7 linked regions of the Xenopus tropicalis genome follow. The protein of the gene in region 6 purifies or fractionates together with the protein of the main gene of each other region. This does not show direct contact. Links are inferred from orthologs where the notes say so. Each region holds a gene or a part of one and is shown on either strand. Other genes may lie near its edges. The genes, in order: ddx42, ilf2, eftud2, rbm17, dhx15, sf3b4 and snrpa1.

Evidence for each region.
Region 1: the proteins of sf3b4 (region 6) and ddx42 purify together in Homo sapiens (affinity purification with mass spectrometry; 3 studies listed by BioGRID and IntAct, with this or other methods). This does not show direct contact. The link is inferred for Xenopus tropicalis from reciprocal best matches to the Homo sapiens genes SF3B4 and DDX42.
Region 2: the proteins of sf3b4 (region 6) and ilf2 fractionate together in Homo sapiens (co-fractionation; 3 studies listed by BioGRID, with this or other methods). This does not show direct contact. The link is inferred for Xenopus tropicalis from reciprocal best matches to the Homo sapiens genes SF3B4 and ILF2.
Region 3: the proteins of sf3b4 (region 6) and eftud2 purify together in Homo sapiens (affinity purification with mass spectrometry; 3 studies listed by BioGRID and IntAct, with this or other methods). This does not show direct contact. The link is inferred for Xenopus tropicalis from reciprocal best matches to the Homo sapiens genes SF3B4 and EFTUD2.
Region 4: the proteins of sf3b4 (region 6) and rbm17 purify together in Homo sapiens (affinity purification with mass spectrometry; 4 studies listed by BioGRID and IntAct, with this or other methods). This does not show direct contact. The link is inferred for Xenopus tropicalis from reciprocal best matches to the Homo sapiens genes SF3B4 and RBM17.
Region 5: the proteins of sf3b4 (region 6) and dhx15 purify together in Homo sapiens (co-immunoprecipitation; 4 studies listed by BioGRID and IntAct, with this or other methods). This does not show direct contact. The link is inferred for Xenopus tropicalis from reciprocal best matches to the Homo sapiens genes SF3B4 and DHX15.
Region 7: the proteins of sf3b4 (region 6) and snrpa1 purify together in Homo sapiens (affinity purification with mass spectrometry; 3 studies listed by BioGRID and IntAct, counting the BioPlex papers as one, with this or other methods). This does not show direct contact. The link is inferred for Xenopus tropicalis from reciprocal best matches to the Homo sapiens genes SF3B4 and SNRPA1.

The regions. Positions count from the first base shown.
Region 1 is NC_030686.2:17,157,282-17,161,269, reverse strand, and holds the start of ddx42 (ATP-dependent RNA helicase DDX42), read right to left. Parts: upstream 2,801-3,988; 5' UTR 2,692-2,800; exon of another isoform or gene 2,632-2,691; intron 2,601-2,631; exon of another isoform or gene 2,352-2,600; intron 611-2,351; 5' UTR 604-610; coding exon 389-603; intron 1-388. UniProt on the Homo sapiens protein: ATP-dependent RNA helicase that binds to partially double-stranded RNAs (dsRNAs) in order to unwind RNA secondary structures. Unwinding is promoted in the presence of single-strand binding proteins.
Region 2 is NC_030684.2:144,160,612-144,164,600, reverse strand, and holds the start of ilf2 (interleukin enhancer-binding factor 2 homolog), read right to left. Parts: upstream 2,801-3,989; 5' UTR 2,746-2,800; coding exon 2,741-2,745; intron 1,025-2,740; coding exon 968-1,024; intron 400-967; coding exon 357-399; intron 246-356; coding exon 141-245; intron 54-140; coding exon 1-53. UniProt on the Homo sapiens protein: Chromatin-interacting protein that forms a stable heterodimer with interleukin enhancer-binding factor 3/ILF3 and plays a role in several biological processes including transcription, innate immunity or cell growth.
Region 3 is NC_030686.2:17,873,738-17,877,237, reverse strand, and holds part of eftud2 (116 kDa U5 small nuclear ribonucleoprotein component), read right to left. Parts: intron 2,509-3,500; coding exon 2,426-2,508; intron 1,802-2,425; coding exon 1,635-1,801; intron 1,005-1,634; coding exon 880-1,004; intron 774-879; coding exon 710-773; intron 1-709. UniProt on the Homo sapiens protein: Required for pre-mRNA splicing as component of the spliceosome, including pre-catalytic, catalytic and post-catalytic spliceosomal complexes. Component of the U5 snRNP and the U4/U6-U5 tri-snRNP complex, a building block of the spliceosome.
Region 4 is NC_030679.2:84,301,937-84,305,436, reverse strand, and holds part of rbm17 (splicing factor 45), read left to right. Parts: intron 1-79; coding exon 80-178; intron 179-1,967; coding exon 1,968-2,040; intron 2,041-3,500. UniProt on the Homo sapiens protein: Splice factor that binds to the single-stranded 3'AG at the exon/intron border and promotes its utilization in the second catalytic step. Involved in the regulation of alternative splicing and the utilization of cryptic splice sites.
Region 5 is NC_030677.2:31,430,013-31,433,512, forward strand, and holds part of dhx15 (pre-mRNA-splicing factor ATP-dependent RNA helicase DHX15), read right to left. Parts: intron 943-3,500; coding exon 606-942; intron 1-605.
Region 6 is NC_030684.2:128,887,628-128,891,631, forward strand, and holds the start of sf3b4 (splicing factor 3B subunit 4), read right to left. Parts: upstream 2,801-4,004; 5' UTR 2,765-2,800; coding exon 2,731-2,764; intron 447-2,730; coding exon 318-446; intron 1-317. UniProt on the Homo sapiens protein: Component of the 17S U2 SnRNP complex of the spliceosome, a large ribonucleoprotein complex that removes introns from transcribed pre-mRNAs.
Region 7 is NC_030679.2:115,912,779-115,916,715, forward strand, and holds the start of snrpa1 (U2 small nuclear ribonucleoprotein A'), read right to left. Parts: upstream 2,801-3,937; 5' UTR 2,712-2,800; coding exon 2,630-2,711; intron 1,258-2,629; coding exon 1,110-1,257; intron 1-1,109. UniProt on the Homo sapiens protein: Involved in pre-mRNA splicing as component of the spliceosome. Associated with sn-RNP U2, where it contributes to the binding of stem loop IV of U2 snRNA.

The sequences.
Region 1 (3,988 bases), on a different chromosome or scaffold from region 6:
CATAATGTGTGTGGAATGTGACAGGGACCTTAGACAGTAAGGTCCACTGGGGTAAAGACTGATGGGATTGAATAACAATCTCTTAAAAGCATTGGGGAATGGGGAATGGGGAATATGTCCCCACTACACGAAGAGTAATAAGAAAGCTTTATTCCAGTGCTATACGATTGTGGGCCAGTTATTTACAATACTTATATGGTCAGGGGCAAATTTATAATGAAATTATAATGTCATACAAAGAGGTCAGTAAAGCCTTTAGCAATTTGGGGGCCACATAAATCTCCTGGAGGGTCACATTAAGCCTCTGGGCCTTTAGATGGACAGACCTGATATCATAAGGAACTACCTATTTTTGTGCTGCATCATGCATTTCCCCTCCATCACTTACGCATTCTCTTCATCGAAGTTGGCCCGCTTGGAGCCAATTTTGTAGAATGAGGGGAGTTGGTTACTAGTGGATGACCCAAACTTTGCTGCCGAAGACTGAAAGGCACTGTGTGAGGCTTGGGGCAACTTCGGCTCCTCCTTTTTCCCAGTGGAGATGGCAAATCCACCAAATCCAAATCCACGTTTGTTGCCGGGTCCTCCTTTGTTCCAGTTCATGGTTACGCTGAGAAAACAAGACGACATTAGCTAATAAGGATGTACATATAATAAAGCAGGAAATCTATGGGTAATGCCACACATGGAGACTCTTTCTTGTCCCAGGAAAAGTTTCAGCAACACAAGGCAGAGGGAAAGGATGCAGGACTCCTCCCATAATTCAGTAAGAATTGCCCAAAAACATTAGTCCTGTCAATGTTTTCATGCAGCCACACACCAATTCCTATCATTATGTTTTGCATCTAATTTTCATGTGAACCTATAAAGTAAAAACAGGATATGATTTGGGCATAACAAACAAATAGGCAGTACACCTTCACTCAGAGTCAGATCAGGATACCCACAGTGTGAGTATCATGTGAGTGTGGGAATAAGAGGGCAGCAGAATAAGAAAATGGGAGTTTCAGAATAGTCAGTGGGTTCATTAAAAATGAATATTTCAGTCCTAATATAAATGGCTTACAGGCCATTCATTCATTAAGGACACACAGTGACCCTTAATGTTTTGATCGCTGCTGCAAGTAGATATAATTAAAACACTGAGGTGATGTAGGCCTAAAACTTCTATGATCCTCATTAAAGACAGCTGTACACTGAATAAATATCTTAATTCATAAAATGTCTACTAAGCAAATCACAAGACATTTTAACCAAACAGCAACCAGCCTGAGAGCAAATATACTTGTGTTTCCATTTTAAAGATAAACTGGGAATCAGCCTTTTAAAACCTGTTAGCAAATCAGCTCTCATGCTTCTCAATAAGTAAATAAAACTAGAATTCTGACACAAGATAAACAAAATTAAATATACCACGGGTGTAGCCTGTGATGATTATTATTAACATGTATTTATAAAGCGCCAACATAATCTGCAGCGCTGTACAATAAATTGGTTTACACATTGGACACACAGAATTACATACAAACCAATAACCGATACAAGAGATGAAGATGGCCCTGCCCAAAAGTGCTTACATTCTATAACAGTGATCCCCAACCAGTGGCTCAGGGGCAACATGTTGCTCCCCAACCCCTTGGATGTTGCTCTCAGTGCCACCAAACCAGGGAGTTATTTTTGAATTCCTGACTTGGGGGCAAGTTTTGGTTGAATAAAAACAAGATTTCCTACCAAATAAAGCCCCTGTAAGCTGATAGGGTGCATAGAGGCTGCCTAATAGCCAATCTTAGCCCTTATTTGGCTCCTCCATGAACTTTTATGGTGCTTGTGTTGCTCTCCAAGTCTTTTTACAATTGACTGTGGCTCACGAGTAAGAAAGGTTGGGGAGCGCTGTTCTATAACATCCACCTGTAACTCTAAGTACCCCCTTCCTAAATATACACGGAACATTCTAGCATTCCATCTTTTGTGTTTATACAGATCATGTCCCGCTGGTAACAGACAATTCCTAGCACTAATGGCAGTCTTTATAAAGGTTTGAGGGGCATCAGCGGCCCCTGAGTTTAAGGATATCAGACAATTTGGACAATGGGTGACGTGTAATGTACACAAGTGGCTGGCTGTTTTTTTACATCATCCGGCATGGTTTCCATAGAATCACCCACTCTCGCTATGTTCAGCTGCTCACCCCCATGCAGAATGGAACTACAGCACCACTGCATGTGATCCCCAAAGAAAAAACACAAAGGTGTGTGTGTGTTAAACAGATTCACTGCCCCTGTCTCCTTATGTTGCTAATGGCACTTTTGTGTTTGCAGCATGTTGTATGGCTGATGGGCACCCCGGCTCACCTATATTAGAACTTTCATAACCAGCAGCCCTCATATACATTCAACAGGGATGTTCACTCAATGGCTTTCCACCTGCTGCTGGCCTACAACTCCTCACACCCTATAAGAGAGAATGCTGGGAGTTGTAGAGCTGCAGACTGGACTACTAGATATAATGAACAACTGCTCTCTCCTCCCCTGCCGTGTCCGTACAAATGGCCTCCTCCTCGCTAATACTGTCAGCCAAGGCAGCGAGTTGGCCCCGCACAGCGCCTCCTGTTTTCTCGGCCTTGCGACTTACAATTGTTCGAGCACACAATCCGGTTATTTCCCCCACCTCCCCTTGTCCCACACTCCGCACCTCCTCCTTTGCGCCGTCCGCCGCAGTTACCTCCGAGCTCAGCGCCGCGTAAACATGTCCGTCGCACCGAGATGACGTCAGGGATAGGCAGCCCGTCATGTGACCTGTATTGTACAGCATTGAAGTGTTCTGAGAACGCTATATAATGTGCATAAGCTAAGTCCTACCGGTGCCTTCAGTAACAGCCACCAAGTGGGTTGTCTCCATGCTTTTTTCACAGAAATGTCCAATGTTATGAGTAAGTGTGAGATGAAATGAGGGGTTGGTATGAAAGCAATCCTGAAACCAGTGGTGCTCATTTACTAGCACCTGGCAAATTTGCAAATTTGAAGTCATTTTTTTTCTTTGCTCAATTTGAAGCTGGCTGAACAAAGGTAGCCATTGGTTGCTATGGGTTACTGCCTACACATAGTACTTTATGAAACTATTATATTGTTCTAATGATGACTATTAGGGCTAAACTTCACAGAAGATTTTGTAGTATGGTGGGACCAATAAAAGGCACCCTACAAGTCTATAGTCGCATGGGTCAAAATATAATGAATAAACAGCAAAAATTTCAATGGAATAAAAATCACAACATTTATTGGCTCAAATAAATACAACAAAAACTAACATATAAATCAGGGGTAGGGAACCTATGGCTCGGGAGCCAGTTGTGGCTCTTTTGATGGCTGCATCTGGCTCGCTGCCAAATCTTTAATAAAAAAAATAACGGGGGGCGTGGCCTGCGATCGGCGGATAGAAGACGTGTTCTAAGCCTTAGAACACATCTTCTATCCGCCGAGCGCAGGCCATGCCCTCCTCCGCATCGCATCCAGCATTCTTGGCACCCACCCTACGTTGTCCCACAGCATCCACAGCCAAACATACTGTATGGCTCTCACGGAATTACATTTTAAAATTTGTGGTGTTTATGGCTCTCTCAGCCAAAAAGGTTCCCGACCCCTGATATAAATCATACTATACCAAAAACGACAGATGCATCCCAGTGCCTCATACTACCCACTCTCCTAATATGACAATATCAGGTAAAATCTGACCCACGAAATCTGAATAAATAAATTCTGGTATCCTCTTACACCCATGCACAGTGCACATATTCATGATAATGACTCAGAAGGGACTTAGCTAGGGAAATAAAGGGTTTTAATAGGCCCCCTTACCCCACTCCCCGACTTCTGTCTAATGCATGGTGCTTGGCAGGTCTGCATAGTGATGGTAGAAGTGGGTCACCATTATTGTTTTTATTAAAGTGACATTTCTTTTTGCAACAGACTAGTCCTTTAAAAAAGAG
Region 2 (3,989 bases), about 15 Mb from region 6:
ATCAAATTGTCGATAACGTTGTTGATTTTGGTGACCAAAGAAAGGATTGAGGCCTGGTGGGGGGAGAGCACAAAGGGTATAATGAATATGGGCAGAGGCAACAGTGCCGGGGGTGGGGGGCAAGGGAAGCATATAGCTACCTGCTCGGCTGTGCTGGGGGCCAGATCTTGGTTTCGTTTGAGCAGTGACTCGCTGAATGAGCTATCGTCGGGGGCGGGTTTCACACGCGGGAAGGCCATTTCACACTGAAAAGAAGGGTAAGTCAGTATGTAAGCACAAGGATAGAGAAGATATATCTATCTATATAGATATATATATACATGTACAGAATGTGGGGGGAAGGAAAAGCCACTTACCACGTGGAAATCAAAGGGAATGTGAGGGACGAAGGGTCTGAAACTGTAAGAGAAAGAATAAAAGGGTCATATTTACATTAGAGAACATGTACCTGCACTGCACAATGTGGCTACTGAATAAGGAATATGGCTACCCTATGGCACAGAGTCAGGGGGGCTGCACCTTTACACGCAACTGTTAGTATGTTATACAATGGCCAATTCAATGCAACTTTTCAATTGGTCTTCATTATTTATTTATTATTTTTTCATCATTTGCCTTCCTCTTATTCTCTTCAGCTTTCAAAATGGGGGTCACTGACCCCGGCAGCCAGAAAACTTCTCTGTGAGGCTCCAGTTTTATGGTTATTGTTACTTTTTATTCCTTATCTTTCTATTCAGCCCCTCCCCTATTCATAGATCAGTCTCTTAATCAAGCCACTACATGGGTGCTAAGGTGATTTAGCACCCACCTAGCAACCAGATAGCTGCTGAACAAAAATGTAAATAATTAAAAAACTATGAATACAAAATGAAGACCAACTGCAAGCTGTCTCGGAACATTACCCTCTACATCACATTTCCACCCAGGAGCGACTGACGGGAGTATGTAGTTACAATAGGCAGCTCACCCTGTGTTAGGTCCCACTCTGGAGCCAAAGCGGCCACGTCCACGTCCTCGTTCACCCCTAAGAAAAGTAGAACAATTTAGAATACGTACATTTCTGGGGGGGGGGGGGGCACCTTAGATTGTAAGCGTCACAGGACACTTAGCTCTTAATCTCTAATATAACTACTTTGTATTTATTACTGTATGACCCTCTGTGTTCTACTCATTTATTATCACTATATCATTATTCAAACATCCAGCGCCCAATATTTGTTATCCGATCATGTACCCAGGGCCCCCCTATCCCTTCCCTATATATTAGGTACAGTACCCCCAGGGCCCCCCTATCCCTTCCCTATATATTAGGTACAGTCCCCCCAGGGCCCCCCTATCCCTTCCCTATATATTAGGTACAGTCCCCCCAGGGCCCCCCTATCCCTTCCCTATATATTAGGTACAGTCCCCCCAGGGCCCCCCTATCCCTTCCCTATATATTAGGTACAGTCCCCCCAGGGCCCCCCTATCCCTTCCCTATATATTAGGTACAGGTCCCCCCAGGGGCCCCCCTATCCCTCCCTATATATTAGGTACAGTCCCCCCAGGGCCCCCCTATCCCTTCCCTATATATTAGGTACAGTCCCCCCAGGGCCCCCCTATCCCTTCCCTATATATTAGGTACAGTCCCCCAGGGCCCCCCTATCCCTTCCCTATATATTAGGTACAGTTCCCCCAGGGCCCCCTTCCCTTCCTATATATTAGGTACAGTCCCCCCAGGGCCCCCCTATCCCTTCCCTATATATTAGGTACAGTCCCCCCAGGGCCCCCCTATCCCTTCCCTATATATTAGGTACAGTCCCCCCAGGGGCCCCCCTATCCCTTCCCTATATATTAGGTACAGTCCCCCCAGGGCCCCCCTATCCCTTCCCTATATATTAGGTACAGTCCCCCCAGGGCCCCCCTATCCCTTCCCTATATATTAGGTACAGTCCCCCCAGGGCCCCCCTATCCCTTCCCTATATATTAGGTACAGTCCCCCCCAGGGGCCCCCCTATCCCTTCCCTATATATTAGGTACAGTCCCCCAGGGCCCCCCTATCCCTTCCCTATATATTAGGTACAGTCCCCCCAGGGCCCCCCTATCCCTTCCCTATATATTAGGTACAGTCCCCCCAGGGCCCCCCTATCCCTTCCCTATATATTAGGTACAGTCCCCCCAGGGCCCCCCTATCCCTTCCCTATATATTAGGTACAGTCCCCCAGGGCCCCCCTATCCCTTCCCTATATATTAGGTACAGTCCCCCCAGGGCCCCCCTATCCCCTTCCCTATATATTAGGTACATTCCCCCCAGGGCCCCCTATCCCTTCCCTATATATTAGGTACATTCCCCCCAGGGCCCCCCTATCCCTCCCTATATATTAGGTACAGTTCCCCCCAGGGCCCCCCCCCTATATATTAGGTACAGTACCCCCAGGGCCCCCCTATATATTAGGTACAGTCCCCCAGGGCCCCCCTATATATTAGGTACAGTACCCCCAGGGCCCCCCTATATATTAGGTACAGTACCCCCAGGGCCCCCCTATATATTAGGTACAGTACCCCCAGGGCCCCCCTATATATTAGGTACAGTACCCCCCGGAGCCCCCCTATCCTATTCTCAGTAGGACCAGGCCCCCCGGAGCCCAGCACACAATGTGCCCCACAATAGGCCCCGGAAGGCGAGAAGGAAACCCGGCACCGCTCCCGGTCCCCCCAATCCCCATGGCAGCTCCCCACTCGGCCCCCGAACCCCCCGCACCTCATGTTTCAGATCTTCGTTCCTCACACTCCCGCACAATGGACAACCTCTCGGCCCTCGATACAGCCACACTAGACCAACAATCTGCTTTCCTATTGGCTATAACGACCGGTTCCACAGCCAATCAGCATCACGAACAGTCAACTCCCTCCCTCTCGGCGTCTGACAACCTATCCAAACCCGCTCGGCAAACGCATCGCTGTGACGGACGGGGACACTCACCAATCGCCGAAGGCGGAGTAAGCCCGCCCACACAGGACGCTACTTCCATAATGGCGGCAGATTCCACTTTTTCCCGCTAAACTTTATTTATAATCAACCAACACAACGCCTGGACAAAATGGCTGCTGGTATTTTTACTTCCAGTATTGCATTTGTATCGCCCTGTAAAGAAATGGCGCTAACAATGGTGGAAAAACTCTCACAAAATAGTTTGTTTATGAAAAATGTGCAAGTCTGTGAGGGTTTATTGGGGAGATACAAGTAATGGGGGGGGGGGGCTGTTCCTGTAGTTACCCCACAGCCTTTCCCATTCTGACTCCTGTAATACAGTGTGTGGCAGCAGTCAATTCCTTCTCCAGCTCTGTGAATCTGTTGGCTTCTGCTACATTGCTTCAGAAGTCAGAACCAGCAGGGCAGCAGACAAACACTGTAATAGCAACAAACATCTTACAAGTCTCTTCTGCCTTTTTCCAGCTTTCTAATGGGGGTCACTGACCCCGGCAACCAAAAAACAACTACTGCTCTGTAAGGCTACAATATTATTGTTATTTTTTATCACTTATCTTTCCATTCAGTCCCTCTCCTATTTATATTCCAGTCTCTCATTCAAACAACTGCCTGGTTGCTAAGGTAAATAAGACCCTGGCAACCGCATAGGTGCATAGTAAGAGCTCCAGGACAAAAACCTAAATAACTGAAAAACCACAAAAAAAAAGTTCATTTAAAGGGGAACTAGCCCTTTAACATAGATATGTTACTGCTGCATCCCCCCCATGAGGTTCCTTCAGGGGTATTTACATTGAAATCTGCCCCAACAGGACTCCGCCCTGTGCTATTGTGATCCGCACACACCTTTTGGTGCTACTGAGAGACACAATGTCCCAGCAGGGGAGCAACGGCAGCTTCCGCCCTGTTAGTACCTACCCCCAGGTTTTATTCATATTCACTGCAACCTGCAGAACTGCCCCGGGGGCAGATGCTACACTGCTGGGCCCCATCCTGCCGTTATTTAGGAATGAATACGAAG
Region 3 (3,500 bases), on a different chromosome or scaffold from region 6:
CTCGAGTATATACGGTAAACCTTTTTTTTCTATAAGTAAAATTACTCTAAACAGCCTCCAGAATTACCTACCTTTGTCCCAGTATTCTCTCTGGCCTGGTTCCTCAGTTAGAAGGTAATCGTTTTTCTTTGCTTCCTTGTGCAGAGTGAAGCCCCACCCCCACTTCCTGTTCAGTTCTCTCTTCAATTCGACTACCTGTAGTCGACCTGGAGAGCCTTCTGGGCATGCCTGGAGGAAGCAGGTGCCAGTCTGTGCATTAGCAGGGGTTTTTTTTTTTTTGATGAGAGACCTGAACAGGAAGTGGGGGCGGGGCTTCACTCTGCACAAGGAAGCAAAGAAAAACGATTAACTTCTAATGGAGGAACCAGGTCAGAGAAAATGCTGGGACAAAGGTAGGTAATTCTGGAGGCTGTTTAGAGTAATTTTACTGATAGTAAAAAAAAAAAGGTTTACTTATTCTTTAAGCACTAGAATATTGCAGTAACTGGCATTAAACAAATAAATGTCAAGTCGTTTTTTTTGCTTTCTGCTGTGAATGAGTTTGTGCCTTTGCATTGTAGCAAATTTCTGACATTGTCAAATACAGCCATATGAAAGGAATTCAGAGGCCATTTAATTAGGGATGCTTAACAATGATGGGGTTTTAACAACTGGTTTAGCCTCTGCTTCAGGCAGAAAAGAAAATTTACACCCTCCTACAATTACATACGTTTTCGGATTGAAGTAGATGTCTCCCCACAATCGCTTTGCAAACTCCTGGTAATTGATGTCCCCTGCAAAGAAAGGGACGGATTTAACCCATAAACAACTGGGATCATTTAATGATAAGAAAACCTGCAAGGCTTATATTAGAATAGACTTTAACCTATGTCCCCTTACCGTATGTGTCAGCATAAATCTTGGCAAATGATCCCAATGTAAAGCAGATGCTGTACTGTGAGCTAGCAAAACAGACGTTTCCCAGGAGAGGAGAGAGAATTAGGTTCTCGTCTGTGGAATACATGCTGTAGAGAAAAAACAAGACTTGTCAGGGAGTGTCATACTCTTGGGACAGAAGACGACAGTGCAGTGCAGTCAGGGCAGGACCCGCTTAAAAATGTAATGGTTCTTAGCCAGCCCTGTAAAAAGCAGAATGTTTACAAACTCTGATTTATTAGCAGATTTATACTTCTAATACCAGGGTCTGAGGCTCTGATTATTTCTTAACTGATTATAATGTGTGAATATCTCAAACCACATAAAAAAAAAAATTATATGTACATTGCAAAAGAGACACGCTCAACATTGAAGTGTGTTTTTAAATTGAGTTTAAATCCCCTTTAAGGGCCATATAAAAAGTGGCCTTTTCTCCACTGGTGTATGTAGGCTGATCCGCTGCTTTCTGCGCCTAAATCACTGTGCTTTGACAGGCTTGGCGTTGGTCTGCATTAACATGGAAGCTTTTGATGCAAAAATGCTTACTTTCAGGTTTCCGCAATGGAATCTTCCCTGACTGTGCACTAACAGGTTAATGCTGTGCCTGTCAATCCACAGTGATCTAAGGTGTGTAATGAAGCAGATCAGCACTCTCTCTTCTGGCATCGATACATCATCAAAATGCCATGCAGTTTCTTAAACCCATTCTACCCAATCACCTAAGCAGTCCATTCACTTCATCCACAATGTGCCGCAGTTTGTAATAGGCGTCAGTCGGAGGCAGCTTAAGCTCAAGAATCAGCCTGTCTATCTTGTTGATGCAGACAGTGACGGCAAGACGTTCCTGAACAGCATGTTTAATCAGTCTCTCTGTGTTCAGCATAACCTGGGGAGAAAGAAAAAAGTAAACAAGGGTCTTGGCAAGAGATAGCACTAAGTGAACTACAAATAAAGGAGAAATAGATGAACAATGATTGCTGCATTGGTGAAAAGTTCTGTCTACTTGAGAATCCATTTTTACTCTTTGGCAAGTTTAGAAGGTGGTCACTGGAGAGAGATGACATTTACATCACATGGGGAACACACCTAAAGCTAATGCCCCATGGGGAGATTTAGTTGCTGCGATGTTAAAAAAAAACAGGTTCCAGCGACAAGTCGTTTGTTTTGTCTCTACATAGAGAAATTTAAATCGCCAACCAACAATACTACTTTAAATAGCTTATCGCTCCAAATAGCTATGAGACCCTTTTTCGAGCAATTTTACAAAGAAACATTTGTCATTCAAAACTACTGAAATCGCTGAAAGTAAAACCCACTAAATTTGCTTCGATATCCCCATTGCACTGAATGTAATTTCTAATTGTGGGTGTGGAATATGACACCTGCATGAAATCTCTAGTAATCGATTGTTAGTAAAGGATGAGCGACTTGTCCCTGGAACTCGTGTTTTAAAAATCGCAGCGACTAAATCTCCCCATGGGACATTAGCCTAACAAAAGTAAAAACGTACCCCCTCAGCAGCATCAATAAACAACACCACTCCATCAGAGATCCGAAATCCAGCTGTAACTTCATCTGAAAAGTTAACATGACCTAAAAAAAAAAAAAAAGAAGGCATTACTATAAGTAATATAAGTTCCATGCAGGATGCTGCCGCTTTGCAGAGCGATTTGACAAAATTAGATAACTGGGCAGCAAACTGGAAAATGAGGTTCAATGTTGATAAGTGCAAAGTTATGCACTTTGGTAGAAATAATATAAACGCAAACTATCTACTGAATGGTAGTGTGTTGGGGGTATCCTTAATGGAGAAGGATCTAGGGGTTTTTGTTGATAACAAGTTGTCTAATTCCAGGCAGTGTCATTCTGTGGCTACTAAAGCAAATAAAGTGCTGTCTTGTATAAAAAAGGGCATTGACTCAAGGGATGAGAACATAATTTTGCCCCTTTATAGGTCCCTGGTAAGGCCTCACCTTGAGTATGCAGTGCAGTTTTGGGCTCCAGTCCTTAAGAAGGATATTAATGAGCTGGAGAGAGTGCAGAGACGTGCAACTAAACTGGTTAAGGGGATGGAAGATTTAAACTATGAGGTTAGACTGTCGAGGTTGGGGTTGTTTTCTCTGGAAAAGAGGCGCTTGCGAGGGGACATGATTACTCTGTACAAGTACATTAGAGGGGATTATAGGCAGTTGGGGGATGTTCTTTTTTCCCATAAAAACAATCAACGCACCAGAGGTCACCCCTTTAGATTAGAGGAAAGGAGTTTCCATTTGAAGCAGCGTAGGTGGTTTTTCACGGTGAGGGCAGTGAGGTTATGGAATGCCCTTCCTAGTGATGTGGTAATGGCAGATTCTGTTAATGCCTTTAAGAGGGGCCTGGATGAGTTCTTGATCAATCAGAATATCCAAGGCTATTGTGATACTAATATCTACAGTTAGTACTAGTGGTTGTATTTATAGTTTATGTATGTGAGTGTATAGATTGGTAGGTGTGGGTTAGGTGTGCTGGGTTTACTTGGATGGGTTGAACTTGATGGACACAGGTCTTTTTTCAACCCTATGTAACTATGTAACTATGTAACTATT
Region 4 (3,500 bases), on a different chromosome or scaffold from region 6:
GTAATTTGCGCTTTTTCTGCTATTGGAAAACACTCAATTTTTGTTGTCAAAAGCTCATTCTGCTGATTTCTACTTCTAGAACATGGTAGGTGCTGGGGAAGTTGATGAAGATCTGGAAGCTGAAACAAAGGAAGAGTGTGAAAAATACGGCAAAGTTGGAAAATGTGTCATTTTTGAGGTAATAACCAGCATGTATGGTATAGGTGTCGTGCTTTTGCTTTACTTAGTACTAATGATATGAGTGCTGCCTTAGTATGTTATGCAGTAGCAGTGGTGTATCCTTAGTATTGTAACTGTGTTTATGAAATGCAGCAACAGTATTCAAGGGCACCCATCCTAAAGGCCAGATAAAATAAGATTCGTTTTTAGTTAGATGCTTGTAGGGGTACACTGACATTGAGCACATGGCTTCGATCAGAAGAACTGGGAATGGAAGTGAGCAGGTATAAATTAAGCTAAAAAGTGCACAAAATGGCATATATATTTTTTTTTTGTTAATATTATTTATTTTATTTTTTTTTAAAACTTAGCTTTTTGTTTAGCAGCTGTCCAGTTTTAATCGTATTTTGCTACTAGGGACTCTTTAACAGTAGCACCAGGCAGTGGTTTCAGCAACAGACTGGAAGTTGAATAGGCGAGGGCCTAAACAGAAATTGTAACAAATAAAATTGTAACAGTAAATTTGGTCATTACAAAGCAGTAGTTTGTTGTTGTCCCATATCAGTGTTGTTTTCTGAAAAATATGTGCACATTTTGATTTTGAAAATTTAAAACAGGGTAGTGTTTCCCACTGTGTTTGACCACCTCTTCTTTTAACAACACTCTTGTAACCATTTACTGGCTTTTGAAATGTGCATTGATAAGCCCAGATAGTCCTTCTCTTCAGCCCGGAGGAGGCAGCATATATAATTTACCGAAAAGAATTTCACCACAGGAAAGTTTTCCACTTTGCCTCAGTCCATCTGAATGAGCTTGGACCCAGAGAAGGTGGTAGTGTTTCTGAATCATTTTTATATATGTTTTTTTTCTTTGCATTGTAAATGATGCAGTGATTAACCATGTTCAGACAGTGGTTTTTGGAAATATTCCGGAGCCCCTGCAGTGATTTCCACTACAGAATCATGTCTGTTTTAAATGCAGTGCCAACTGAGGGCCCAAAGATTATGGCCATACAATATTGGTTTTTGGCCTTGTTCCTTGTGTACTGTGATTTCTTAATCCTCTAAATTTTTTAACGATATTATGTTCTGTAGATGATGAAATCCCCAATCCTTTGTCATTTTTGTTTAGGAATGTTATTAAATTGTTGCAATATTTGACGGTGCAGGGTTTGACAGAGAGTGGTACCCCTCCCCATATTTACTTTTGAAAGATTCAGCCTCTCTGGGATCCGTCCTTTTTAGCATTACGTTTTTGCCAATATCAAAGGGTGTTAAAATATATGGACGATGATGCACTCCCTATAGTAATTTGCAAAGTCATGAGTTTTGACACCACATGTCTTTCTGTGTGTCACCTCATTTCTGAATATTTTTTTTATATAGGTCACATTATCCCTCAAATTATGCTCAGTTTATTGTGTATATACAAATATCATAGTATCCTTCAATAGACTGTAACTGAAGATTGCTGAAACCTTTGTTTTTCAAAAAGAAAAAAACAACAACAAAAATGAGTTAGTATACTTGATTCTTATATACTTATTCTGACTTGGCAGAAGCTATGAGTCTATATAGGAAAACTAGGGTACACTTTGACAAAAATTAACCAAATAATATGGTCATAAGCCTTTCAATAGGTTTTTGCTATTGAAGTATGTTGAGATATGTAATTCTTTAACACTGCATAAGTGACACAAATGGAAGGGCAAGCATACTTATATATAGGCTTGTCTTAAAAGATGTTGGCTGTGCTCAAGTCAAAATTATAATAATTCTAATAATTGCTGTGTGTGTTTTTGTTTCCAGATTCCTGGTACACCAGATGATGAGGCTGTAAGAATATTTTTGGAATTTGAAAGGGTTGAATCTGCAATTAAAGGTAAATTGCTTGTTTTACCGAAACTGAGATTTTTGTGTGCATAACAAAGTGATCAATGATAAATTAAACCTATTTCAGAACTTGTTTGTCCGAGATAATAATGAAGTATTGTAATACACACAGAAATCCAGGTATAGTAGGCTGCATCACTTCCCAAGTTATGTAATATACTATAGCAAATATTAAGCAAATGGAAGGTCATAAAAGCTGCACTCTTAGGGGCACATTTACTAACCCACGAACGGGCCGAATGCGTCCGATTGCGATTTTTTCGTAATGATCGGTATTTTGCGATTTTTTCGTAATGATCGGTATTTTGCGATTTTTTCGGAAATGATCGCGACTTTTTCGTTACCAATACGATTTTTTGCGAAAAAACGCGAGTTTTTCGTAGCCATTCCGAAAGTTGCGCAAAATCTGGCGATTTTTTTCGTAGCGTTAAAACTTGCGCGAAAAGTCGCGATTTTTTCATAGAGTTAAAACTTGCGCGAAACGTTGCGCCTTTTAAGTTTTTAACGCTACGAAAAAATCGCCAGATTTTGCGCAACTTTCGGAATGGCTACGAAAAACTCGCATTTTTTCGCGCAAATAATGGCTACGAAAAACTCGCGTTTTTTCGCGCAAATCGTATTGGTAACGAAAAAGTCGCGATAATTTCCGAAAAGTCGTAAAGGCGCTGAAAAAATCGCAAAAAATACGAAAAAGTCGCAAAATGTTCGTTTTCCAATCGGAATTTTTCCAATTCGAATTCGTGTCTTAGTAAATCAGCCCCTTAGACTTAAAGTCATGCCATTGTTGTCACCAATAAAAATAATACCTAACATAGGGTTTCTCACATGGGAGCAACATGGAATATTGTTTTTCTGACTTGTTTGTCAGGTTTGCTTCAAACAATAAGAAAATGATAACTGCTATGGGTTTGGTAGAATTTTAGCTGTTAGCTGCTTCTGGCTCTATAGTCCAGTATAGCCCAGCAAGACCTTTAATGAACCTGTAACTTTTTAAATCTATATTCTGAATAATGCTACCTAGTAAACTTTGCATTCTAAGCAATAAGCAGTTTTTATGCTTCCAGGAACTTCTTGTATGAAAAATCAGTCTTTATGTGCAGTCAGTGAATAATACTGATTGTCTTCTTTTGAAGTTAAATGTGATTTCTGAAGTGATGCTTCCACTTCCACTCTTGCAATATCATATCAAATGAGAGCTGTCTGGTGTGATCTTCTGTGCAGGTTTTCATTCCAACTTCACTTAACATAGAAAACAAATAGTAATCAAAGTTATTGCACTTACACTACATTTTAGAACGCTTTTCAGTCTATGGTATATTCAGAAAGTGGGTGGGTATTAGTATAAAGAATAAAAAAGTGCTAAAAATAAAAGCATTATGACATGAAGCTGAACATAGATAAGATCAGTCCCATTTGCCACATGGGCAGATTTTGTCTGACAGAACCACT
Region 5 (3,500 bases), on a different chromosome or scaffold from region 6:
TTTTCCTCTATGTTTTGATGATGGGATCCAGGTCTAATGCTCTTTCTTTCTGCCAACCCTAAAACAATCCCTGTGCCAGTCAGGATTTTGATGCTTGGGGGGCAGAGGAATGATGGTTATATGCTATTTCTATATTAATACAGTAGATGTTAAATCAATAGTTATATTATTTGTACCCTACTTTTATACCAAGTGTTGACTGACCACGCAAAAAACTTCTTGGGTTAACCTCTTCACTACCTTCTGCTATTTGACAAGCACTCAAGTCTTTGGCCTAAACTAAAACCTTGCTCTTATTCCTTAAAACAATCCCCTTATCCTATGCCACCTAGACTACTGCAAACTACATTTAGAGCACTAACAAAATATATGAAAATCTGACTAATAATGGGTTAATGCCCTACCCAATGTGAAGAACAGTACTGATTACTATACTATGTGTGCCCTTATATTAACCACCGACTGTAAGGTCTATGCAGCAGGGACCACCTTCATTCTATGATAATTATTCTTTGAAATAAATATACAGTTTGCTTTATTGTTATATTTGTATAACACAAAAATAATCCTTGCCAGAAAAGCTAAATGCAGGCAAAATAAAATACCTGAGTAGTTTTCCCAGATCCAGTCTCACCAACCAATACAAAGCTCTGGTTCTTCATAAGAATTTCAGTAAACCGTTCTTTGTATTCCCATACTGGCAACAGTAGCCTCTTTTTTAAGATGTCATAGTAGCGCGGAGTGTGGGGTAAGTTGGTAAAGGGATTAATGCCTTGAGCAACCGCTGCAGGTTTTAGAGGTGGCATTCCACTAGCTGTAATATACGTAGAATTGGATGACCCACGTGAGTCTTTATCCTTGTCTCTGTCCCTTTCCCGATCCCTATCTCTGTCACGGTCCCGGTCCTTAGATCGGTCATCTCTCTCTCGATCTCTGTCTTTTCTAGGGATTGAAAAACAATTTGTGTTATTATCACAGGTAAGATTATCTATAATCAAAAATGTATATATATATAAAAAGTCTTAAGTTTGCCCACATCTAGTGACCAGCAACCAGATATTTGTTCTCAACTGGGGCCCTTTCCTTTCCATCTAATTTATGGCAGTTGGTAAAGACAGGACTGGCCTGCATTTGCCAAAGCTGTGCTCTGCACTTTGCAATGGATTTTTTATCTGGACAAATAGTTACTGGCCACCTTGCCATTGAGACTTTACAACAATATAGAGCCGCTGACTGCTATTCAACTTTGCAGACCATACCTGCAGCATTGTAGTTACGGGCCAATATATGGCTCTGGAAGATTGGGTATAATAGAGCAGAATACAGTTGCAGGGTACTATGTCATTCAGTAGTGTACATCCAGAATATTACATTGGTGATCGAGTCATTAAGAGAAGAGTATCTATGACACTAGTACACTACCAGTCCAGGTGCCTAGTAGGAATCTTGACAGATGACCTTTATAAGGATTCCATGGCCATAGGGTTCCTTTTTATCATTTAAATAACAGCAATTTTTATTGACTCGGCTCTGAAGTTTATTACACGCACAGCTCATATACCTTGCACTGTATTGTTGGCACAGTTAATGTAATGCTGTCTGTTTGCAGGTACACAAGCCCATTCTCATGTACAAATGAACACCGACACTACCGAGCATGTATCTAACCTCATAAGACTACAATGTACAGTTTAGAATTTCTCACAGCTCAAAAAGCTCTATACTCAATTTACTAAAATTATTTTAAAATGTTGTCAACCACCCACATCACCATTATGCCCTCTGCAAACAGCCTAGTATCCTGCATGTCTTAAAAGCTTCAGAAGCAATATTAAACTCTTCATACCCGGTTTTGCTTCACAAAATCCTCCCCAACCATTATCACAAAGTATGAGGGGTTACGTTTACCTGGGCTGTCCTGGTAAGCACAGACATATTTGTCACTACAGGTATAGGATCTGTTATTTGGAAACCCATTATCCAGAAAGTTCAGAATTACGGAAAGGCCATCTCCCATAGACTCCATTATAAGCAAATAATTTTAATTTTTGAAATTGATTTCCTACTGGGTTTATTCAATATTTAAATGATTTTTTTAGCAGACTTAAGTTATGGAGATCCAAATTACGGAAAGATCCCTTATCCAGAAAACCCCAGGTCCCGAGCATTCTGGATAATAGGTCCCACACCTGTACTAACATTCTGCTGGCCAAGTGACATACTAAGCTGCAGCACATATATTGTGTCTACAGACAGTACATGTGGGCTACTAAACATCTCTCACTGGCAAAAAGTAATTTTTATTTATCTATCAATATAACTTTTTGATAATGCATAATATCTAACAAGTGACTGTTTTATATAGTCAGCAATTGGTTCTGAAATGCAATTATTAAAAGGTGCATAAAAAATAGACAATACCAATTTGTAATGAGTATTTTATTAAGCAGAAACCAAAGACAAAGTATTTAAGGTCCCGGACACATAGAAAATTAATCTCTTTCAAAATACCTCCTTATGCATTTTCGCAAACGGGATTTTCGGTAGTACAATAAACCACCCTGTGTAAAAGGGCCCTAACGAGAAGCAGACCTTTAATAAAGCTGCCCTAAATACAGTCAAATTTAAAAAACTCCTGCTTATAGCACTATACTAACAGATAAGCCCACGCATATGTCAGCACTTCCTCGTAATGCTTTATATTTACAGTGCTACAAATAAACTTGAAGACCATGCTGTAGCAGACCTGCCGATGCCAACCAAGAGCAAAATAAGTTCTGTGGCCACTTAATGGACACCTATGACAATGAAATGTCTTCTCCCACCAGAGGTGAGGGCTAATAAAGCCCACACTGTGGTTGGGTGGAAACAATAGCCCTCGCTGGCACTAGGTCGCCTACACAGAGTGGGAGCTCCCAGTGTGGACAGCCAGGTTCACTCATTATGCGCACCACCTGCTTAGCCAATACGCACCCTTACAGCCTTAAATTACACATAGTCAGCTGTACAGATTAAAGGCAGCCATACCAGGGCCGATTCTGTACAGTAATGTGCCAAATATCCATGCATCTATACAAATAAAAACCACATTCAGAGAGGCACGGGAACAGCTCTAAGCAAATTTCTTTATGTTCTTATCTTCTGGCCAAATAATTAGACCAGTTTCTACTGAGGTTTAATCTGTCAAAAAAATCTGCAAAAGTAAGAACAGTGAGAGACCATCAATGATTTTTTGCTGATCCCTAAGCCCACCTTCTCAACAACAGGCCAAAGCACACTGAACATGAGCAGTGTCACCAAGATGATTGGCTTCTGTGTACAACTTTGCCCAGTCAGGATCAATTCCTCACAAGCAATGGAACAGCAAACATGATGCATTTAACTAAAGCATTTACAAGCTATAAACAAAATGTGCACATATTAGTGCAACCTAACAGGCAAAGTCAAACAGCTAAAATGTTAAAGGGGTTGTTCACCTATAAATTAACTTTTAGTATGTT
Region 6 (4,004 bases):
GGGAAGAGACAGTGACCAAGTAGATATGTTGCTTTAACCATGATCAAACGATGTGGAAACTATTGCTTCCCGCACACAGAAACCCCCAAAATACCCTGTAATCTGTTCCTTCAAAAAGCATGAATAAATACCATTTTTATATGCTGAAATCCAGCTGCAAAACAGTTCTTCTCTTTCTGCATCATTTGAAATCCTGGCAGGGGAGGAGGGACTAAAACATTCTTGTTACAAATTGCAACAACTTCTCCACAGCATTCCCCTCCATTCCTGCCTATACACAGCTATAAGAAATAATGGTTAAGAGGTGCCAATCTTACCTTGATGCTGCCCCGTGACCCTGTCTTTGGGCATGTGTGTATTCACTACAGGCCCTGCTTGCAAGAAGAGCTCCCATAGAAGAGGCTCAGACACCTTTTCATCCAGGCCTCCGACATACACTGTGGCATCTAAATCCAAAAAGAAAAAAAAAAAAAGTTATAGTACACGGCAAATCAGCTATTCCACCTTCTCTTTAAATATCCCCGTTACACTCTGAATAAATGCACAGATCATAGATCCGAGGCACTGTTGCCCTGAACTGGTAAAACTGGTGTGTTTGCTACAGTAACACTACTATAATTTATATGATAAGCTGCTGTGTAGCCACAGGGGCAGCCATTCAAGCTGGAAAAGAGGAGAAAAGGCACAGGTTACATAGCAGATAACAGATAAGTTCTGTAGAATACAATAGTGTTTTATCTGTTATCTGCTATGTGCCTGTGCCTTTTCTCCTTTGAATGGCTGCCCCCATGGCTACATAGCAGCTTATTTATATAAATTATAGTAGACTTTCTGAAGCAAACACACAGCTTTTACCAGTGCAGGGCAGCAGCACATTATATTTTAGTTACTTTTAGGGCTCTGGCACACGAGGAGATTTGTCGTCTGCGTTTTTTCCCCCTGGCGCTTTGGCGACAAGTCGCCACGAGAATACCCTCAAAGAGATTTCATGCGAGTTGAGCTCCAGGCGATCTGCTACCCATGGTACACTCAACAGTTAACCCCCCTCAAGTCGCTCAGAAAAGGGTCTGTGTGCGACTTGAAACAGCAGGCGATCTGAAGTAGCCTCGTATGTTTTGACGCTGGCAATTTCCATTGATTTAGCATTGGTGTCTTGTCGCCAAATCGCTCTTTTAAAAATCGCCGGCGACAAATCTCCTCGTGTTCCAGAGCCCTTATACACTTTCATTTTTTGGTGTTACTGTTCCTTTAATCCTTGTAATACAAACTCTCCTTGCTACAGGGTTTAGCTTTCCCTTTACAACCCTGGAGATATCCACCTATAAACCCGAAAGATAACGAGAGAAAGTTTTCATCAACTTTCCAACATATATATATACCGTATATACTCGAGTATAAGCCGAGTTTTTCAGCACTAAAAATGTGCTGAAAAAGGAACCCTCGGCTTATACTCGCGCATATACTCGCGTATATATACGGTAAATGGTTTCGCAGCTGCTCGTTGCATGCGAACCTGCCTGCACACCTGTGACGTAGCGGAAGATAGCGCTCGGACTACCGCCAGATAGCGAAGGACCCGTTCGCGGACTTTATTGAGGTTGTCCCGCAACTCTAAGGACCGGCCAAACAGCGCCAAACTCCCGGACCGTGGTGTCTTGTTGCTGTCGGGTGTGCTGCTTATTGCAATAATTGTGCCGAGAGCGCTCTGTTTCTTTAACCCTTGTCACACGGCAGCTGGCGAGGCGATTACATGACGGCTCCTTGCAGACACACAGGTTGGAATTAAGAGGAGCGCCGCCGCTTATTTAAAGAGCAGCGTAAATGCTGGGCTTACGGATCCTCTGGCGCTGCTGACAGGGCACACCGCAAGGTACCGCTGCTTCACTTGCACACCGGGAGTTGCTTTGGGTCTCATTGAAATATAGCAGGGTGCTGGGTGGCCATTCTGTGGGTGTCTCATCCTTGTCTTGTCGGGCACTGATGTCCCAAATCGCCACCATGAGATAGAACAGCTTTGAGGTAACCTATTGTTTCTCCTACTCCCATGTAACTGGTCGGCTTATACTCAAGTCAATAAGTTTTTCCAGTTTTCTTAGGTAAAATTAGGTACCTCGGCTTATATTCGGATCGGCTTATACTCGAGTATATACGGTAATAAAAAAAATCAGTGGTTCAAAGGTAAATGCTATTGCTATTGGAAGTAGTATCTATCTGCCCCTTTCTTATTCTTGAAACCATTTCATAGTTTAATAGCCCTGGCCTTTGTTACATTGTTTCAGAAGTCAGAACCAGCAGTGTAGACTATAATAAGACAGACGGCTTTCGCTAACAATTATATTTTGCAAGAAACTTTATAAACGTTGGAAATGTGTAATGAATGTATATAGGGAGGCTGCTTAGCATTAGTTCTGTGCATTATACACAGTGTTTATGGGGATAGCACTATAAACTGTATTGGTGGGGAAGAAGCAGATCAATGTTTCTGTGTAGATTCAGGTACAGTTACAGGCCGGGCTGCCGATATTATAAGAACAGCTTTGTGTCCAAATGACTTTTGCACAGAGATGGAGCCTGCACCTCATGCACACAGTGCAGCCCGCCTCCCCCTGCTCTGAGCTCTTACTGTTCCCTGTAAACCCCGGATACCCCTACTTCCAGCCCCCCCGGCATAACAGTTCCCTCCGCCCCAATCACCCCATGCAGCCCATACGCAGTCTGTACGTTCCTTACCCTGGTTCCGTTCAGATATCGGCCCAGCCGCCATTTTCTCGCCGCCAACCACTCAGCCACCTCGCTGCTTCAGTTTCCGCTTCCCTACTTCCGGCCTCAGAACGCTTACTTCCGCAACCACTTTTTTTTTTTTTTTTTAGATGGAATAACTTTATTAACATGCCTTATGCAGTCAATGCTTTCCGGCGGAGATATTTGTATTGTAATGAAACCCCAAAGCTAAAAGTAAACGTGTAGTAAACTCTGAGGGGGTTATTTATTTATTTTTATATTTTTTTAAGATTTTACAGTAAATGTGCCAGTATTGTCAGCGCATAGAGGGTGTTTCATTGTTTCTATGGGCACCAAGGATTATTAAAGGGTCCCTGGTGTGAGCTAAGGGTGCAGACACACGGAGCTACTAGTAGCAACTACTTGTAGTCGCTACTTAAATAGACAATGCTGATCATTTACTGATAACAGTCTCAATGTGTTTTAGGGCTCTGGCACACGGGGAGATTAGTCGCCCGCGACAAAACTCCCTGTTCGCGGGCGACTAATCTCCCCGAGTTGTCATGACCCGCCATCCCACTGGCAAACATGTAAGTCGCCGGCGGGATGGCACACGCGGCGGCGCGATTTCCCAAATCTTTTTCGGCGATTTCGGGAAATCGCGCCGCCGCGTGTGCCATCCCACCGGCGACTTACATTGTCGCCGATGGGATGGCAGGGGAAGGCAACTCAGGGAGATTAGTCGCCCGCGAACAGGGAGTTTTGTCGCGGGCGACTAATCTCCCCGTGTGCCAGAGCCCTTAGCAGAGGGAATTCTCAGTATTGTCTATGGCAGGGGATTTTTTGGCGTTTAGTAGCTGTGAAAAAGTAGCTGCTACTAGTAGCTCTGTGTGTCTTCACCCTAAAGGAACATACAAGGGTCACATGTAAAGACCAATGCTCCTCCCCTTTTACATAGAGATGTCTGTTGGTTGAGAATTTAGTGAGACAAGAAAGTCTTATTGGCCAAATAGTAGATTTGACTATTGTGTCTGATGTATATTTTTAAACCTTTAATGTTAAAGGTAACTGAAAGCCTGGTGAATGCCTTGGTACCAAAAACTCCTTGTTTGTTGCCCCTGGATATAAAAAGCAGACTGGTGGAGCAGTAGTGAGGGGAGCCAGAGCAGCCCAAGATGGCAGCTGCCAAACCTGCACTTTTCTTCTTCTAACCAGATACAACAACTAAGCAGGTTTGGGGGTCCCTGTTGGTGGGGTTTAGGAAGGGACAAAGGTACTAACCA
Region 7 (3,937 bases), on a different chromosome or scaffold from region 6:
TAATGTTAAAATGCATCTAACACTTTGAGAAAGTGCAGTGCTAAACAGAGTACAGGCCATGCTGGGGTGCTTTGAGGGTTTTATGCAGGACTCTTATTACCTCTACTTGTCATTAATGAGAATAAATATGTTTTTTAACCATAAAAGGCACCAGTCAGTTTTATTTTTTTAAAAATCCAGTGAATAAATCAAGTCTGCAGCTCACAGGGTTACTTATTTAACTTTTACAAAGGCCTATAATCATTCAATTCAACCCTTTATAAAATAATGCTGGCTGCCGGTCCTAAGAGATCCACTCCATAATGAGAAGGACTTGCACTCTCTGTTTATACATGTGGTTTGGCTGCATTCAAGTAGGAATGGAATTTTGCTTTTAATGCTGATGTTATTGCTCCTTATTATGGTCTCCCCAGATGCGTACTAGCTAAAAATAAGATATGCTGATGATTCATGGGGCTTTGTAACATATACATTTTGTTGGTGATTGGAACCAGCCATTTCAAAAGCTACTCTTGAGTAATCTGTTACATTCACCCAGTCATCATTTGCTCTTAGGAGCAAGAAGGAGCTGTGGATTTAAGGTCCGATAGGCTGATGAACCCTTCGAGACTGATTAGTGGGCATAGCAAGTCTATAGACTACATGGAGACATGATGGATCTTTTGAGGAAAATTCATTCAAACAAAATGATCATACTTGGTTTGCCTTTTCTTGGTGTTATGTAACAAATCTTAAAGTCAGTTCACCCAGAAGGAATAAGGATATGCTTATGTGTTACCGAGGTATTTATTTTCTTCCTACACCAGTGATTAATGCAGTGTGTGCAGCAACCAACCCAAACGCTAATGTGAGTGAACACAGTGGCAAACAGTTTGCTGCTTTAGGGTTATAGCATACTTTTGGCTGCTAAGGTGCTTTTATTGAGAGCCAAAAGTTCAATACACCCTTTCCTTTACTGTCTGTTATAAAAAAAAAAAGCCTTTATTTTGAAATGAAGTGCATTCAGATTCAGATTCTGAATACATGTCAAAAAAGTATCATATACACAGATAGCAATGACAGTGTAAGAACCAGTAGCATATATAGCTATAATAAAGCACCAAACTTACCATATTCTGTTATTGTTTAGTAGGAGGGTCTTAAGTCTTTTCAATAAAGGAAATCCATCCAGTTTTCTAATCTCATTATCTGAACAATCAATTGTATCAAACTGGTCTAGTGTTGCCCCAAGATTCTCAATCACTGGGATTTTGTAGCCTGTGTGAGAGAATCAGAGATAACATTTACATATGAACTGAGAGTTGATAATACTGCCACTGGATATATGTGTGTGTGGCTGAGAGCAAAGAAGTATACACAGTGTCTCTGCAAACATCCTCTATGACTTTGCCAATATCTGTAGTTTCCATTTGCTCCCAAAACAAGCAACTGGGGTAGTAACACAATCCAGGTTTGAACATGAATGTGCCTCATTCCCCTGCTACTTATATCAAAAGGTTTTCTAGTGCAGATGCCCTCCCTGCCTCCCAACTGCCCACCACTTACTGAGTCAGTCTCCAACAAGGAGCAGCTTTGTCAGTGTCACTGGGCTTAGGGTCAGGCAATGTTGTGTTTGGCTAAAGGGCAAAAGCCTATCAGAACATAGCCCCAGCTACACAGCCTCACAAAGCAATAGTGGGTTTTTATTTTACTGGGGTCAGTTACCTACCCTTAAGCTGCAGGTCAAGGTTAGCAAACAAATCACTTCTGTTTTGTCTATGCACCAATTTAAACCTATTGTAAAAGTGGTAGCCTTACAAATGGCCAAGGCATATGCCCACTCTGCAAGGAATCTCCTCAAACGACAACATTTATGTTATTTCTTAATACTAATAATTTTATAAGACATGCTCACCCCAGCTGTAGTAAAACTACAACTCCAAGCAACAACTGCCCTCCCCAGCCCCAGAAGGATTTCTTTACATACAAAACCTATAAAAGGACTGAATATTAACCACGACACACACAGCTGTTACCCACACAGTGTTACAACTATGCCTAAATATTATGGATTCTTCAGCCACATTCAAATAAGTTCCATATAGTGTAATAGGGGGGAGCTGGAGCAGGCGTCCAAGTATTGTAGGGGCTCCATACTCATAATATTTGGTTGACATGACTGATACAATACAGCAGGGAACTCAAAGATATTCTCCCCACTAAAAGAATATAAGTGCATAAAGCTCTAATGCTTCTGTGCCTGCTGCCACTGTACATAAGGAATACTAGATCCTACCGCAATGGTAAGTGTGTGTGTGTATACATATATCTCATATAGAACCAACACACCAATCACACACACACTTGCCAAAAAAAATATAACCCCCCCCCCCCAGCACTTTTGGGAAGCCAATACCCCGGACTATTTAACCATACACACACTGAGTTGTTTTCCCTAATTCATTACACTGCGATCCAGTCTAAATCCCAAACTAACGGCCGGATGTTAGGGAAATAACTATAAGCTCAAACAAACAAACAAACGCAGAATACAATGGAGAGTGAGTGCAGATTGGCGGACTGGCCCTGGAAATGAGAACAACTGGCAGCCGAGAGTCTCCCAATGAGGCCGGGAGAGGCCGCCGCTCACCCCTGAGGTCCAGCTCTCGGTCCCGCACCGCGTTAGTGTACTGCGCAGCCTGCTCAATCAAATCAGCCGTGAGTTTCACCATGATGCCCGGGAAAGCTGCAAGCCAGAGCCAAAGCCAACGCGCGGCACCACACGACAGGAAGTCCACTAGAGAGTCACTTCCGCTATGGCTAGGCGCTCTACTGGCCAATCAGCAAGCCGCTTTGAAAAGGGGCGGAGCCTAGCGCTGCCTCATGTACCTGTGACGCTGTACAAGAGACAGGGGAAAGTACATGAGTAAAGAATAATCGAGCGCAAAGCTTGTGGCGACAGCTAGAAGAAGCGAAGAATAAGAAAACCTTGGAAGAATACACACGGAGCTACTAGTAGAAGCTACTTGTCATGGCTACTAAAACAGACAAAGCTGATCATTTACTGATAATTGTCTCTACGTGTGTTTTAGCAGAGGCAATTCTCAGTACTGTCTATGGCAGGGGATTTTCTGGTGATTAGTAGCCGTGACAAGTAGCTGCTACTAAGTAGCTCCCTGTATCTTCACCCTTAGGGCTCTGGCACACGGGGAGATTAGTCGCCGGCAAGATGGCAGACGCGGCGGCGCAATTTCGTGCAAATCGCCGAAAAAGCCTTGCGAGTCTTTTTCAGCGATTTGCCGAAATCGCCCCGCCGCGTCTGCCATCCCACCGGCGACTTACATTATCGCCGATGGGATGGCAGGGGAAGGCAACTCGGGGAGATTAGTCGCCCGCGAACAGGGAGTTTTGCCGCGGGCGACTAATCTCCCCGTGTGCCAGAGCCCTTAAGGTGCCCATACACAAGGTGCCTTACCCTGGGGCCAAACGATTGAATTATTGCGGCGGATATAGGTCCGGGGACTGCATCAACAAGCCAACGCGGTCGCGGGCGACTAATCTCCCCGTGTGCCAGAGCCCAAAAGGTGATTGAGGGAAATCTAAATCAGTGGAAGCTACACTATTAGCTACTGTTGTTTCATTAAGAAATGGGTGAATCAGGACCTGCTAAGTCAGTAAGGACATAATTACCAACCCAAGCAAAGTTTTCTCTGCACAGTTACTAATAGCAACCAGTGATTAGCCTTGGTCTGCAGCAGGTCAGAGACTGAATGGGAATGACTGGAATTGTACTGGTTAGTAATAATGCACTGATATACCAATGCTTAAGTGTTGGTAAAAGAGCCGCAGTAGGAGGCTAAGCCAAGTGAATGCAGTTAGCAGCCTATACATGGGTAATGCAAAGAAACTTCTCAGAGGAGACAGATGTATGGGGTTTGGTATTAGCCTTTATGAAGGG